3 linked regions of the Drosophila melanogaster genome follow. The protein of the gene in region 3 binds, or shares a complex with, the protein of the main gene of each other region. Each region holds a gene or a part of one and is shown on either strand. Other genes may lie near its edges. The genes, in order: Nelf-A, NELF-B and Nelf-E.

The links.
Region 1: Nelf-E (region 3) and Nelf-A share a complex: the UniProt entries of both Drosophila melanogaster proteins name them as parts of the NELF complex.
Region 2: Nelf-E (region 3) and NELF-B share a complex: the UniProt entries of both Drosophila melanogaster proteins name them as parts of the NELF complex.

The regions. Positions count from the first base shown.
Region 1 is NT_033777.3:21,221,932-21,229,832, forward strand, and holds Nelf-A (negative elongation factor A), read left to right. Parts: upstream 1-1,772; 5' UTR 1,773-1,938; coding exon 1,939-2,148; intron 2,149-2,257; exon of another isoform or gene 2,258-2,658; intron 2,659-2,844; coding exon 2,845-3,099; intron 3,100-3,166; coding exon 3,167-4,573; intron 4,574-4,719; coding exon 4,720-5,883; intron 5,884-6,000; coding exon 6,001-6,432; intron 6,433-6,495; coding exon 6,496-6,651; intron 6,652-6,723; coding exon 6,724-6,855; coding exon of another isoform or gene 6,856-6,894; 3' UTR 6,895-7,581; downstream 7,582-7,901. Other genes in the region: Oga (O-GlcNAcase), read left to right, coding at 1-708; CG3337 (uncharacterized protein), read right to left, coding at 926-1,263, 1,326-1,602. UniProt on the Drosophila melanogaster protein: Essential component of the NELF complex, a complex that negatively regulates the elongation of transcription by RNA polymerase II. Has an essential role in postembryonic development.
Region 2 is NC_004354.4:7,725,496-7,730,173, forward strand, and holds NELF-B (NELF-B), read right to left. Parts: upstream 2,867-4,678; 5' UTR 2,789-2,866; coding exon 2,657-2,788; intron 2,579-2,656; coding exon 1,280-2,578; intron 1,218-1,279; coding exon 864-1,217; 3' UTR 501-863; downstream 1-500. Other genes in the region: hira, read left to right, coding at 1-250; CG12155 (uncharacterized protein), read left to right, coding at 3,696-3,879, 4,167-4,678. UniProt on the Drosophila melanogaster protein: Essential component of the NELF complex, a complex that negatively regulates the elongation of transcription by RNA polymerase II.
Region 3 is NT_037436.4:8,598,904-8,602,942, forward strand, and holds Nelf-E (negative elongation factor E), read right to left. Parts: upstream 1,977-4,039; 5' UTR 1,841-1,976; coding exon 1,760-1,840; intron 1,702-1,759; coding exon 1,184-1,701; intron 1,095-1,183; coding exon 928-1,094; intron 864-927; coding exon 787-863; 3' UTR 539-786; downstream 1-538. Other genes in the region: CG43078 (uncharacterized protein), read left to right, coding at 1-5; RpL14 (ribosomal protein L14), read left to right, coding at 2,132-2,134, 2,411-2,512, 2,745-2,939, 3,200-3,400; CG5989 (uncharacterized protein), read right to left, coding at 3,612-3,950, 4,012-4,039. UniProt on the Drosophila melanogaster protein: Essential component of the NELF complex, a complex that negatively regulates the elongation of transcription by RNA polymerase II by RNA polymerase II. The NELF complex, which acts via an association with the DSIF complex, causes transcriptional pausing.

The sequences.
Region 1 (7,901 bases), on a different chromosome or scaffold from region 3:
GTGTACAAGCTTCCGGAACAGCCCACGGCCAACTACTATCTCTTGAGACCTTACTGCAATTCGGACGAACAGCAAGTCAACGATTTGTGCACTCGCCTGTATTTGCAGTGGCGGGGAGAGCTGGACGGAGGCAGGCACATTCCGTTCCCGCTGCCGGCGAATGTGCCAAACATTGTGGCGGATGGGCTGATCGGTGGATATCTCACCCTCAGTCCGCAACTGTGCATTGTGGCCTACGACGAGAGTAACCGTATCATTGGATATTCATGCGCCGCCCTGGATGTCAACATATTTCGACGCAACCTGGAGCTGTGCTGGTACACGGAACTGCGTGAGAAGTACTCTAGAGATATTTGTCCACTGGAGGGTGGCGAGGAGGTTGTACAGCTCGTCACCTCCCTTGTGGAGAGTTATCATGACAGCAGCGGTAACGGGGCTCTGGACCAGTGTCCCGTAGAGGTGAGCGGCTCCTTCCCTGCCGTGTTGATCTCCGGAACTTTGCGCGAAGCGGAGGAGCGCGACTCGGGAATAACCAAGCGGATGCTCACCGTACTTCTGGCCGCCCTGCGTGCGAACGGCTGCTTTGGTGCTCACGTTCGCGTTCCGCAACAAGATGTCGCCCAGGTGAACTTTTATTCCAGAATCGGTTTCGTGGATGTCTATCGCGAGGAGGCCACCAAGTGTATTTACATGGGTCGCCGTTTCTAGCGTAGCTGGTTGCCACCTTCACTGCCTCCACTTTTAATGTTCCTTCATCTTTGGTATTCCGGCTAGCGGTGCTAGCTACTCACGTCATGTCCTCGTCCTTTTTGTATTCCCTTGAGGTATAAAGTTTGTATAACTGACCAACCCTTCCAGCATTTATCGTAAGCATTGTTTTCTTACTGAGAAAAACAATAAAAATACCAATTTAATAAAACTTTTGCTAGCTTTTGTTCAGGTCGTAGAACCAGACGGTGTTTACTCCGTCCTCTATAATCTTCACGTGCTCTAGGCTGGGTAGTGGAAAGCGGCAGGCGATAATCTTGGTGTTGTGCGGACACTCAGCAATGAGTTTGTGTTCTAGATCTTGCATCATCTGCTCAACCCCAAAAATGACCACGAAGTTGTAGTCCTTTATATCGAACTTCCAGAGATCTCGCCGAAAAAATCTCGTCCGTTTGGAAACGCTGTGACGCAGCGCGGCCAGGCGCGAGTAGTAGACCAGCCATGGGTTTAGCTCCACGCCATCTGCTTTTAGAGCACCACAATGCTGTGCCGCAGCTGGAAAGAATTACATAAGTTATCTGCAATGTTTTTAAATGGACTAGGTGAAGCGTACTTACCCACTACAATCCGTCCGTCGCCGGATCCAATGTCCAGCAGTTTTCCGGCCGAATTCTTGGGCAGGAAGCTGAGAACGTTCTGTATTTGCTCGGTCGTCGCTGGCACATAAGGCAAGCAAATCCTCCGGAATGCAGGCGCCACAAAGGAGGCGCACACAATCGACAGACCGATACCTACTCCGCCCGTTGCTGCTATCAGGATCTTGCCGCCCGTGGACATGCCACTTTTCGGCGTCTTGGCAAGCGGATTCGGAGCAGATTCGTTGAGGAGTTCCATTTCTATTATCAGAAATTCATGTTTACCTCAATTGCTTAGTATTCAGCGATTATTTATCGATAGCTGGTAGCCCTGCAGGGGGCGCTGTTACAACGGCGTTTTGCACCACTGGACCGTGCACACTGTTTGACATGTGGCAACACTTTTTTCGTGCGTTTGATGTGTGCGTGCGCTTCCTATTACAATTTTTTCGAAGGATTTTTCGTGTGTCTTGTTGACGTGCAGCGCGGCAGAAAGTGAAAAACGCCATCAAATAGTGCCGTGCAACAGGGCGGGTCAACGTTTGGCATAAATTGCAGTGTGTGCCCCGCGTGCGGACAGGCGTAATTCGAAAAAATGGCGAACGTAAGGGACAGCGACACATCACTGTGGCTGCATAATAAACTGGGCACCTCGAACGACTCGTGGATAAACGGCTCCATCTGCTCGCAGCTGAACAAGGAGGTGCTGCGCAACATCAAGGAATGCTTCCCCGATCTGCAAACGCAGGTCAAACTGAAGCTCCTACTCAGCTTCCTTCACATCCCGCGCCGTCTGGTGGAGGAGGTAAATGAAATCCAATGAATTGAAATGGCGTTGGTGTATGGAAAAAGTACACCAGTGCATACGCACGCATACTGCGGCCCGCGCGCACACGTACACGGAGTACACTTACCGTTGTTGAAACAAAAAGTGCGGACAATTTTTAAATACTCGGAAAATCTCTTAGATCCCATCACCTGGCGGACCCCAAAGCACATTTCTTCGCCTTTTAACATTTCCCCCCCGGGCGATTTCGCGGGTTGGTGAAAATAAATATTAGCAACGTTTCCCGCCACTTCTGCTTTTGTGTACACATTTCTCTCTCTCCGACACTTGTGCGTGGATTTCTCTCCCGTGTGCCTCGGTGTGTTCATGTGTGAGTGGGCTGTTGTGGGTGGCCGCGGATTCATTTGTTTGTTGTGCCCTTCCCACAGAGCAATTCGAATTTTATCAGACGTTTGACATCGCAGTTAAAAGATACATTTGTATCTCCAGGCTGCTGAGCTGGTAGACCAAGTATAAATACAAATAACTATTGATTTTTTATTTGATTTGCAACGTGCCGTTATAGTGTAATTAAAATCTGTATTTAATCGATCATACCAGGACTACCAGATCGTAAATATTCATTGTATCTATTACCTGAAAGTGTATTTGAGCATCGAGTTGTCAATTTATTTATGCAACCCAACCCATTGTTGATTTGATTGCAATTTGCAGTGGAAGGCGGAACTTGAGGAGGTGATCGAGGTAGCCGGCCTGGATTCAGAGCTATGGGTTTCCATGCTGGCGGAGACGATGAAGACCTTTCCGGCGACCAGTTCGCTCAACACCGAGATCTCCGATTACGAGGACACGCGTCCCATCTTCATAGACATGGTCAACGACCTGCGCAAGCTGGTCACAAAGCATTCGGACCTCGGCATGCTGCCTCTGGAGTGCCAGTACCTAAATAAAAACGCACTGATCTCAGTGGTGGGTATAGACAAACTTACTAAATCTTACCTGTTTTGAACTAATAATTTTTTCTTGTTTAATTCAGGTGGGCCAGCAACCCGCTCCCGTCAAGCATTTTACGCTGAAGCGCAAGCCGAAGAGCGCCCAGTTGCGCACCGAATTGTTACACAAGTCAGCCGATGCGCAGTCCTCGCTGAAGAAGGCCTCGGCCCCCACAATACCGCTGCGATCGCGTGGCATGCCACGTAAGATGACAGACACTACCCCGCTGAAGGGAATCCCATCTCGCATGCCCACCACTGGGTTCCGTTCGGCCACCGTGCCGGGAAATGCCGCCCAGCGCCCCAATCTCAGTCGAACGCCTGCTGGACGCAAAGACGGTGGCATTAAACTGATCGAATTCACCGAACAGCCCTTGGGTTATGCGGCGGCTAAGAAGCGAAAGCGCGAGCAGCAACTGGAAGAGCAGCAAAAGAAGCAGGAGCAGAAACAGCAACAGGCAGCTGCAGCGGCAGCTGCGGCCGCCACAGCAGCGGCAAGCAATGCTGGTGACAGCTCACCAACGGACGCGGCGACTGCCAGTGGAGGCGAAACACCCGTCACGCCCACGTCAGCTAACAACAGCTTCGAAATCAAAATGGAACCGCAGCAACTCAACCAGAGCGCTGGAAGCCTGGAAGAGCCGCAAGACGATGAGATGTCTGGCAAAGCGAATATGGAATGCGATATCGAGACGCCGGAGTACGCTACAGCCACGCTGGACTTTGCCCAGGCCACTTCGACGTCCGTGGCGGATGGTCAACCGGGAAAACCAGCAGTAGAAACGAAGCTGAAGACGCCGCGAACTCCGAAATCCGCAGCAAAACTGAACAACAACAACAACAACAACAACAACAACAGCTTCAATCACACCCCAAAACGAATCAAGCAGGAAATAGAGATCAAGAGCGAGGAGATCATAGTACCCGCCAGCATCAAACTCGAAAAGATCGAAACTTCACCGTCGACCCAACGCGTCAGTATCCAGCAACAGCCGCCTAGTTTGGTGCAGCGCACCCCGCACCTGCTTATCCGCAGTTCGCCGCAGAAGCGGCAGAACAACGGGGCAACCACGAGTGCAGGCACAACCACAACCACTGTGGGCAATACCACCATCAAGATGGAGAAGCTGGACATCAAGCCAATGATACGCGCCACCGGTGTCTCGCCTTCGACGAGTGCGGGCACTACGACTACACTTCTTACCCCGCAGCAACTGCGTCAGGCGGCCAATCCGTTGGCCAATCTGCCCAACAATATCTCCGTGAAGATAACCTCTGCCAAGGCGAAAGCGGCAGCTGCAGCAGCGGCAACATCCAGTGGCAGCCAGACTCAGTCGCAGCAGCCGCAAACGTTGCAGGTTCAGCAGGCGCCTCAGCAGTCGCATCCCCCGCTTTTGATTAACAGCTCCACACCCGTGATCTTGGCGTCCTCGCCCAGCGCTCAGAGAGCGGTAAGTATAAAATTATGCGTAGCTCTATTGGAGAACTTTTAGTTAGGAATTTCTTTAATTTTCCTGGACAAATATTTGAAATTCTATCACCTGCCATAATGAAACTTAGTCCCTCTTTGCTAATTAACTTAATTCTTCGGTTGCAGAAGGCTTTGGCTTTGCCTAGTAGCAGTACCTCCGCCACAACTACCACGACGATACCGTCGCAAGCCATAAAGACGATGCCACTGAGCCAGCTGAAGACGGCTACCAACAGCGGACCAGTGATCATATCGCAGACTATTATCCAGCCGGCAAAGCGAGCCCAACAACAGGCTGGAACCTCCAGTGCAGCGGCCGCTTCGCAACAGCAGCAGCAACAACAGTCGCAGCAGCAATTGTTACACCAGCAAATCCAGCAGCAGACCCAACAGCAGGCGCAGTTACCACAGCAGCCTCAGCAGCAACAGACGCAGTATATTCTAGCCACACCCCAGCAGCAACCGCAACAAATTCAACAGCAGCAACAACAGCAACAGCCCATTTTGCCAACGCTTACCTCGTTCTCACACAGTCGGCCTATGCCGCAGACTACGACGCTTTACCAAGCCACTACTCCTAGCGGAAGCGGTCAGACGCCGACCAAGATTTTGCTAAAGACATCGGGCTCTTCAAGCGTGGTGATGACGCCTCTGCGCCAAGCGCAGCCGCAACAGGCCACCGCTGTGGTGTCGTCGAATCCTCCGCCATTGGTGGCCACTTCGGCGGCAGTAGTTTCCCCGGGTCAGACAACCCTGAACATTCAGAATGTGCAGCTACCCAATCGACCAGTGACCATCCAACCAGCCTCCCAAGCCGCCCAGCAGCAGCATATGCAGGCCCAGTTGCAGCAGCAGCAACCGCATCCACAGCACACGATCGTTGCCAATACGACGGCCACGCAGCAGCCCAAGTTGTCTCAGGTTCTAATGCAGCCAACTGCAGCAGTTGGCACCAGTGGTGTATCCGCTCTGAACGTATCCCCTACGTCCGGAAAGAACAAGACCATCATACTCACCCAGAAGGGCGTTATACTGCGCAACATTGGCGGCGATATGTACCAGCAAATACCAATCAGCAATGTGGGCAACATGCAGGGACTCGGAGGCACCACGCTGATGACAACCACAGCTGGGCCGCCGAGTCTGGTGAAGACAACACCCTCGAGCGGTGTACAGTTGCAGCAGCAACAGTCTGGAAAGCAGATCCTGCCCACTCTCATACCAACCAGCTCGCTTGGAGGACAGCACGTTATTGTGCAGCAGCAGCAACCCACCAATGTCATCGGGAATGTAAGTGTATAAATTATGTTTTGCCAAACATTATTGGCAATAGAAATCGTAAATCTCTTTTCCCCACGTCCACTATGTTGCTATATGTAAAAATCTAACCACATTTGTATCTATCAGTCCCAACAGCAGACCATCATTCGGCCCGTTATGACCAACGTGGGCGGAGGCTTGACCACGCTGCCGCAGGGCCTGACGCTAATTCAACGGCCGGGCCAGCAGCCGCAGCTGGTGCAGGTGCAGGCGGCGCCGGGCAGCACGCAGCGCACGATTATTACCCAATCGAACACGGCGGCGGCGGCGTCGCAACAGCAGCCGCGCCAGCAGCAGCAACAAATCCTGGTCCAACACAAGCCGGCTCCGACCCTGCAGCAGCGTTTGGTCACCTCCACCACCAGCGGTGGACAGGGACAGCAGGGAAATCCGAATGCGGGGCTCCCGCGTACCGTGCAGGTGCAGGTGCAAGCTCAGCAGCAGCAGCAACCACAGCAGCAGCAAGCTACGCAACAGCAATCGCAGCAGGCACCCCAGCGACGTGGACTCTCTCTATCGGTAACAACATTGCACATATTTCTTTAAAATTAGATTTCAATCCTGTCCTGTGGTTTCTTCTAGAACGAACACGTGCACAAGGCGCACGAAATGTTCCGCAAGGCAAATCGCGTCTCGCGACCTGACAAAGCCCTTATCCTTGGATTTATGGCGGGTCTGCGGGAAAACCCGCGCCCAAATAACGAAAACGTGCTGGTCATCAAGTTGGGCGAAACAGAGGTAAGGCTATTTGCGATTTATTTCAAGCTTCTGCCTTGGTTAATTCTCAATGCTTTATGTCAATTGTTACAGGAAAAAGTACAACAGGACAACGGCCACACGGCACTGTGCCTGGTTGAGTCACACATCCGGCTGGACTACAACACCGGTGAGTGGAAGACATTCCAAAACTACAGGCTGCAGGACCAGAGTGCCGCCTCATAGTCCACAAGGGTCATACGCATAGTTCGCAGCAACAAGTGAGCAGGGACAGCCAGGCTGCAACTGGTTTGTGCGTATATGGATTGTTGAATATGTATTTTAATTTGTCATCCGTTCTGCATGGGCTGCTTCGCTGCCGCCCCTAATTAGGCTATTATAAACCCCCTCTCTCCTAAAAACCCTCACCACAACCTCCCGCAGTCAGCAAGACGCCCTAAGAAATGCTGGATATAATGAAACTATTTTATAATTAAGATAATTTAGCTGTACAGTTGTTTAGAATGTAGTAAAGGCTAGCGCTTAAACATTTAGTAAACAGGCCCGTTCGTACATCCATAAAAACACCCATTCATCCAAGCACACTGGCATAATCACCTCTGGCTGAACGCTTCACTGGAGAGCAGTTGGCAAGGCGGATGGGCCAGAAGTGAGCGTTTGGACGGATCACATAGGCACACACACATGCCTCACACATGCATTTTAAAACTGCATATATATACCTAGCTTATGTAATTGCTGTCGAGTAAAAAGTGTGTAATTATCTTACCAAGCAGCATAAAATTTAGAGACGCTGATCGGCGCTCGTATTCATTAGAAATCTAATGAAAATATATTTAGTTTTAGATATATATGTATGAGTCGCAGCCACCACAGCAAAATTAACTTAAATCTTGAAATGTGTAATAGACAAACAATAAAACTAGCATATGTATTTATGGCTTAAATGTTAAAACATCTGCTCTTGTGCTTGATTATGGAAAATGTAGGTCATGCAAACGTCAACTCACTCGGATATTCAAACACTCGATCAATTGATCAATTTGGTTATCAAGTGGTCTGCGCCCAAGTGGAATTCTAAAGACCTATTGGCGTGGTATGTGATTGAATTTTGAAATTGGCTGTAAGAGCAGTTGTAATACCAATAATCATTGGGAAAATAATTCCTCTTATACAATGTATAAGATTGTACATTGAAATTCCGCTGGGTTGGAATTTTGGAAAGTGCCTTGCCCACGGCCAAGAGAGCGTCAGTGCAATCAAACCACTTT
Region 2 (4,678 bases), on a different chromosome or scaffold from region 3:
ATCATCCACGTCATCGCTGTCTGTGCCACAGCCAGCTCCTAGTCTCTCGCCAGAGATTCAAACTCTAGACTCGCCCACCGTTTGCATAGATGATGAGATTTTGTCGGCCTCATCTTCACTACCTCCGTTGGATACCTCTCCCGTGGAAGTTTCGCCAGCGTCCACGTCCGGTGGGGCTGCTTCCACATCTCCGGCCGCTTCCGTAGCGGGATCAGCTCCAGTTTCCAGTTCCAAAACAGATCAGACATGAGACGAAAGACTCCTATCCCTAATAAACCTCCTAAATTGTGTGTATTTCCCTAAGCTATAAGCGTTAAAAAACTTTTATACCGAAATTTATTAGGATCTTTCAATTATCCATGTCCGTAAGAAACTCCAGTTATGTAAATCATTAAATTTGAGTAAAGATGAGTTAAAAGTTGAGTATGTGATTACAGAAACTGGTACCGGGAACCAATATTTCTTTCAAAAACCCTGATGAAACTAAAAGACATTGCCTTAGATTTGTACTCTATATTGTGTACTAGAATCGATCGTTACACTAGCGTAACAGTAATATATAATATATATAATAGCCAGCGACAACTGATTGATGCCTGCCAACAAAGCCATACATTCTGTAAATATGTAAACTATATCCGATTGCTCGGTCGCAGTGCTTTATGTTTAGTCTAAACAGTAGAATTATTATTTGCGCAAGCATGCTAATTGGGGATTGCCATCCGGTCGGCTGCTCCAGAGAAGTATATGAGGTAGCCACATACATGGCCTCCGATCATCATCATCAACATCAACATCATCATCACAAATAACCATCATCATCCGACGACAGCCGCAGGTGGTGCGACTGCCGGTGCCTCTAGCTATTGGACATTATAGTGCGGTCCTGGCGTTGGCACACTCTTTAGCGGCGAATCAAACTCCATGGGCGGCGCTTCAATGACCGGCGTCTCCGCCGCCCCGGTGCCGATTCTCTCCTGCAGAATTTCGTACAACTTGTGGATGTGCTCGTTGTGGGCCGTCGTCGGCTGCATAGCCTTCATCAATGTGGCCAAACGACCGGCGGGCAGCTTATTGTGCACATACCACAAAAGTTTCAGCATGTGACGAGAGGTCACATTCTCGCGCGTCAGTCCGGCAAAGATGAACTCGTCGAAGAGCGTGGTGCAGAAGTCCTCCGTGGCAAACTCTTCGCTCATGGGGATGAGCAGGGCAATCTGTAGAGGTAAGCAATCGAGTCAGAAAAGTAAATATTAGAAAAGCAGCTATAAATGCTAACCAGAGAGTGCAGGAAGGGATCCTCATATGCGCGGTCGTCTTTGCAGGCGGACAGAATGGCCAAGACGCGCAACACGCCCACGCGATCCTTCAGGCGCGCCGTGTGCAGCGTATAGTACATGGCCAATATGCTGGCCACGGAACTCTCTTGAATGTACGCCTCCACGGCATCCGGTGCCGGTCCCGAATGCTCGATGGTGGTCAGAGCAGATTCACGCTCGTCCGGCGGTAGTTTCGCGTGCAAGCTGCGGCACTGGTCGTCAACCATTAACGACATGAGGGCGGGCAAAAACTTGGTGACCACCTGGCAATCAAGTTTGGGCTCCTTAAAGTCTTGCGAATCGATCATCACCCAGGCACTCAAGCCCAAGGCCAACATTCTCAACAACAGGATGAGTATCTGATTGTCACGCGGCATGCCCTCGTTGTTGATCAAGTGATGCAATATCTTGATGGCCGACGTGGCCAAAAAGTTGATGGCATACGGATCGCACAAAGTCATGGACAGATCGCCCAGAACCTGCTCCTGACCGCGCTTGATGTTGTCAAGAAATCCCTGGAGCTCCCGTGAACGTTTAATGTCCACATTCTTCTCCCTTATGCAGGCGTCCAGGCACCAGGTGAACTTGTGACAGGGATCTATCGAGATGATCTCCTGCACCTCGAGATCGTGTAAGGCCATCAGTAGCTCTGCACGCAGCGTGCAATAGTGAACATTGCGGGTGCGCAGGAATAGAGTGCGCAGGAACTGCAGCACCATATCGTACAGCTTGACACTGGTGCCAATCATGTTGGCCAACTTTTGGACTACTTCCCCCTGCCTTCGCACCTTGGGCGTTGGGTGGAAGAACAGATTGTTCAAGTTGGTGTGATCAAACAGGATGTGCTCCTTCTCGCGAATATATTGTGAGAGGAGAGGCGACACCTCGTCACCAAACAACGATTGATTATCACGCCATATCTGCCGCTTAACTTCCGTATCCGTGTCCGCATACAGTTCCCGATCCCTTACAAGGATTTTGAGGTACTTGTCATCGATGTGCTGGGTATTCCTCAATATGGCCATGACCACGGGCCGCAGCGACTTCACCCGAACGACGGGGAAGCTCTTAACGAGCAGCTCCTTGAGCTTCTTGTCCCGCTCCCGGGGCTCCTTTTGGCCCATCTCGTTGATGTGAGCTATCAGCTTGTCGCGCAGCTCCTCCATCAGCGAGGTATGAAAGTCCAGTCGACGCACGCCGTGCAAATCGAGTAAAGGCAACATGGGGCGCAGTGAAGGCAGCAATACACCATTCTCAAGCTAAAAAGGCAGGTGATATTTGGATAAATAAGCCCACCGAACTTTTGGCGCCCATTTTTCGGTGCAACGTAAACAAACCTGAAAACTCTCGATGGCCTTCAAGGGATCAGTGCAGGAGGTCAGGGCCTCGCGCAGATAGGCCTGACCCGGAATATTCACGTCCTCCAGTCCAGTTCCATTGTTATTTTTCGCCGGTGTGCTCATTATCATGCAATTCGTCGGCAAATTGAGCAAAACAAGACACGAAGCTACACAATTGTGTTGTTTTTTATTGCTAGCGAGGAGACAAAAAAATAAGCGCAGGCTTGCACATGTGCGGTGTTATCGATAGTGCACGTATCAGCACGGCTTGTAATAGCCAACTTTGTATGTTTAACATGTAGTTATTAATATTATTTTGCCAACAAATAGTTGTATTATTATTATTGGTAGAATGGTAAATGTTACAAAAATTAATAAAGATAATAAAAAAAAATTATATGGGCCACAAATACAATATAAGTCTAATTTCTAATAGTGTTGGTAAAAAAACTGAACTCAAAAAATAAAAACCTTTAATTAGTTTGCCTTAGAACATCATTCCCATACGACTTAATTGTATAAGAACGTAACTTTTAATTGAGGATTATAAATACAGGGAAACGGACTTTTGCTTTTCAGTGACGGCGAAAGAGAACGCCAATTCCGCGATGTGTCATCCCTAGCGCGAAATAAGCAACAGCAAAAACAGCCAAAAGCAAAGCAAGAGCATCAAGTGCAGTCAAATTCGCACAATTGGAGCTGAACGCCAAGGACAAGGCGTCTCGATTCTTGCCGAGATTCGTGCCCCGTAGCGACTACAAAGGAGATCCTGCTGCACACAGTCGCTATCCTTTGCATCGAGTGTGCGAGAGTGTGTGCGTGCGTGTTCCTACACCTACATAAGCTGGTGTTTGGCTCCGTTCAAGTGCGCTTGTGTATGTGTTTGTGCGTGCATTTCGACGAGAACGAAAGCCTCTCTTTTCGTGGGTAAACAAAAACAAAACACCTGAATGTGAGGAGCAGCATTGGTATCGGGATAAGGATCATCAGGATTTGGGAGAGCACAACAGTGGAAACCCACAGAAGCTGAAGCAACATGTCCTCGTCGACGCAAGAGCGCAAGCGCTACCACAAGGACAACGCGCCCACGGACGACATCCTTACGCTGATCAACCTGGTGCGCCAGAATCCGGTTCTCTACAACTACAAACTGCAGCCGAACCAGCGACGCCGCTCCGATGTCCTCAACGGATGGCAGGAGGTGGCCCAGCAGATAGGAAGTGAGTGCTAGTCATGGCCTGCTTCATGTCCGACTATTAGCCTTCTTCCAGAATTAATATAAGCTTCCGCTAAAGTTGGTTTTAAATACCACATGCATATTGTATTGATAGGCTAGTGTTCTGGCGCCGGCTACTATAACACAACTCATAATTTCATCGTTACTTAGAAACGTTTTCATAAATGTGATGCCTTTGAAGAGGTTCTAGCTTGTATCAATTATCTGTAAAAGGAATACGATTCCTTTGAAACCCCGCTCATATTTATACTACCTCTTTCTTTCTTCCAGACAAGTACACGGTGCAGGAGGTGCGTCGTAAGTGGAAGAACCTGCGGGACACTTTCCACCAGTACCGTCTGCGCACGCCCAAGTACATCGAAGGGCGGCTATCCAAGTGGCGCTACGCCAAGGAGCTGGACTTCCTGTCGAAGGTGTACCAGCCGAAACTGAAATCGCACCGGAACACACAGATCACCTATGAGACGAGTGGGGTTGCCGGCGCCGGTGGAGGCATTGGAGGCGCGAATAGTACCACATTGCCCATTGGAGCTATGCTGCATTTGAAACAGCATGTGGACGATGACGACGACGAGGTGATGGACGATGACGGGCAATCGGATCACGATACCGCCACGCTCTCCTCACATCACGGCACCTCGCAGATCACCCTGGTCAGCGATGAGGCGGAAACCTTCATCCTGACCGCCTACGAGGAGGGCGTCTCGGATGACACTGTATCGCAGCACCACCATCACCATCATCATGGCCATCACCAGCAGGAGCATCATCACCAGCCGCAC
Region 3 (4,039 bases):
CGTGAGGGACTGTGGGCAGTCCCATCCTGGTTTTGTTATCCTTTGGAGCGGTATTGCATTTTGGAGCATCGAATCTGGCCAAGATACTTGGCGGGATGAAGAAACGAATTTAAACGCGGCCAGGTGTCCGCTCGAAACTTGAAGGCCTTAATGATACTAACAAGAAATTACTTTAGGAATGAGGTGCGCCAATGGGGGCGGCGTTGGGCAGGGGCGTGCCCGTGCTACTAGTCACACAAAACAATCGAAACCAGAATCCCAGTTCAATGACCCATCATCACACACATACCGACATCTAACTTGTACTAACCAGAAATATAGAGGGAACATTTTTCAACGTTGTCTACCAACGATATAGAAATCTATATGGCAGAGCATAGCAACAGAAGCAACGATCATGTATTAACTATTTACTTAACTCATGCTATGTACATACATACGACGTTCTCTGTTTCTTGCGAGGAGGGGGCGAGGACCACTAATAAGAACTTATTTTGTTTGCTCATCTTTTCTACCACGTAAGGCAAAGCGAGAGATTCAATTGTTAAACATATTGTTGTTTAATTTAGATCAAAACGTAGGAATTAATATACAAAACATACAATCTTTTTCATTGAATTCATTTGAACGTTATAACTTGAAATGCGAGTACTTAGCCAGAAAGTGAACATATATATAGAAGCGTATTTTCAATAAAGCAAAATTATTTAAAATAAACTGAAATGTGTTCTGTTACTAAGGGATAAAGTAAGTAGAAAGCTAAACGTAGAAACTAATTATTGCGCTCTAGAGCAAGAAGTCTTCATCGTATTGAACCATCTCGCGGTGGTCCTTGTGGCTACCCTTTTGTGATTTGCTGGCGGCTATTTGGGGAGTACATAAGGTTTGATTTCGTTTTTAAGTTATAGAGAAACACTGAGCACTTACCAATAGATGACCAGACTGCCGACGAGGAGGCATCGTTAATGGGCTCAATCTGGGGCTGGCGTCTAGCCAACTGCACCTGCAAGTTGATGCCATTCACATTCTTGCCATGAATCTCCGCAATGGCGCGATCTGCCGACTCGGGTTTGGCGAAGGAAACAAAGCCGCGACTGCAAGGCCATACAGGATAAATTTATAATTTCTCCAGTTGGGAAAATATATATGTAAGCTATAACATGGACTTTCCATGTTCACTTACCTCTTTTCGATCTCCATGGAGACATTGACAATGGTGCCGTAGTCGTTGAATGTCTTTTTTAAGAAATCCTCGGTGACCTTGTTGCCGGACACGAAGATGGTATTGCCGGCCCGTGGCTTCTCTGGCTGCGCTGTGTCCATGGGCACCTTCTCGGGCATGCCGCGCTCCTCTCGATCCCGCTCGGTGGCGAAGTGTTGGTAGAGATTCTGTCGACGCGGCTCCTCCTTAATGATCTCACTAATGATCGTCTCCTGGGCCACGTCGTTCTGCGTAGACGAAAAGGGCTGGTAGGAGGCAACAGTGGTTTCCGAGGTGGAGCGCTTGGCTCTTTCCTGTCCTTTGGGCCGCTTGAAGGAGGTTTGATCTTGCTTGGTCTGCTTCTGGATGGCGGGAATGGCGCCGCTTTTGATTAGTTTCCTGGCCACTTCACGGGCATCTCGCGCATCCGTGGGACGCTTCAAGGTCAAGGAGCTCTCCGGCTCCGGCTTGGGCGCCTTGTGCGCTTGCAGTGCCTTTTTCTACGGGTTAAAAACTTGTTAATATAAATAATCACATTTGTGGCATGAGTTTTCCCACCTTTTTCTTGAGTTTCTGATACTTGGCCTGCAGCATTTGCTCCTCTTCGGTTAAATTGTTGGGGAAGTGTATGTAAACCATGTTGGGAAAATGTCTGCTTGAAATTAACCCCGTAAAAAGTAACTTCTACAAAAGTAATTATGTTATTCCAAAATGTTTATTTTTACTATCGAAATCTATCGAATTGGCTTAGTGTGACTGTAACAGTTGATAGCGAAAAATACCACATAAGATGTGTATGATTTACTGTCACATTAACTATTTCTGCACAACACTAGACCACATGCAACTCTGTGTTTAGCAACACTAACGCCATGCTACCACCGAGCTGTCAAAAAAGTTCTTTCCTTCTCTTTCTTTCCGGTTAGCGTCATGGTAAGAATCGACGAAGGTTTCTGCGGATCGGTTGAAAAATGTGAAAATTCAGCGGTCTAAATGGCCCGAGATGAATTAAATTTGGCGGCCAAGCGAACGGGTCAGTGCGTTGAACGTGTGAATAGCGAAAGCAGCGTAAAAGCGTTGGAAAACCATGGGATATCCAACATTCAAATAGTTCACGTGGTGGTCACCAACACAAGCAACGCGCTGGCCATGCAACAACCGAAATCCAACATTTTCACCCATTTTTAATGGACTTCTCTCTGTTTGCAGCCTTTCGAGAGATTCGTACAAACTGGTCGCATTGCCAAGGCCTCCGCCGGTCCCCTGAAGGGGCGCCTGGTGGCCATTGTCGACGTCATTGACCAAAACAGAGTAAGTGCATCATTCCATAGTGGAGTAACAGCAACAAATTGCCAAGTGACGAGCTCTTGCACATGATGATAATTTGTCTTCTTGATAGGAAGTGCCAACTGACACATAAATGAAGCTAGTTTAACCCTCTGAAAGCAAGCAAGCAAAACCAGCATTTGTTGCTGTACTCCTCCCTTCATGGCCATACATGGTTAAAGTGATCCAAACTAATTAATGGCTTTTCACTTTTCAGGTTCTGGTAGATGGTCCTCTGACTGGCGTGCCCCGTCAGGAATACAGATTGAACAATCTGCATCTGACCAAGTACCGCATCAAGTTCCCCTACACCGCGCCCACGCGCATCGTGCGCAAGGCCTGGACAGAGAGCGACCTGAAGGCCCAGTGGAAGGTCAGCCCCTGGTCCGTCAAGGCACAGAACATCTGCAAGGTATGTACACTGAGCACGAGGAGGATTCGTAGCTGTAGGAAAGTTTACCTATGTAGAGGGGAAAATGTTATACCTCTTCTCTGCCTAGTTGATTACCTCCTTGAACTGCACATGATGATAATTGAAAGTTCTTGATAGGAATTGCCGGCTGACACATATATGAAGCTAATTCTAGTTTATCTGATTACAATCATAGCTAGGCGTCTTCATAAACATTCAGAATAAATCAAGTACTAATGAGAATTTGTCTTCTTTTGCAGCGCTCCTCGTTGAACGACTTTGACCGCTTCAAGCTGCGTTATGCCAAGCGTCAGCGCAACAAGCTGCTGACCATCGCCTTCAACACACTGAAGAAGCGCACCAAGGCTGACGGCACTCCCCGCGTCCTCAAGAAGGATCGTCGCGAGCGTCTGCGTGCCGAGAAGGCCAAGGGTGGCAAGAAGGCCGCGGCCAAGAAGTAAAAAATACTACCTTTAACGAAAGTAACTGCTTGATGAACATCCACCACCATGGAGAAAATAAAAGAAAGTGTTATTTTTAGGAAAAACACAAGCACACTGCCAGCTTTCTTTTGGTTTAACGGTTTTATTTGCTCTCAAGAAACAAAATGATCTTAACAGTCCAATCTTTAAAGCACAGTCTACCAAATAGCTAACGACCAGAGGACCCCGCTCAAGTGGGGCACTTGCCGTAGATGGTCTTCCAGTTGTTGGGATGGTTGTAGCCCAGCAGGATGGGCAAGTGCAGGAACAGCGTGATATGTTCGCCTTGTATCGACGTGGACACCTTGACCCACTTCCGCAGCCACTCGATCATGGCCTCGCTGCTCAGGCTGTCGGGATTCAATCCGCGCAGATAGCAGGAGTAGCGCAAAGCATCCGGTGTCAGGTTGTGAACGCCACCCTCGCGGGTTATGGCCTGGTCCATGTAGTGCACCAGGAAGGCGTGCTCGTGGAGCCGATGTCGCTTGAAGATGCTACTGGGCAGTCCATGAAGGTTGACTAGGTTTCTCTGGAACGTATGCATTAGTGATATGCTTTAGGCTGCATAAAATGTGTCAGATTAAACGTACAACGTGCTTCCGCGACATTCCCAGCAGG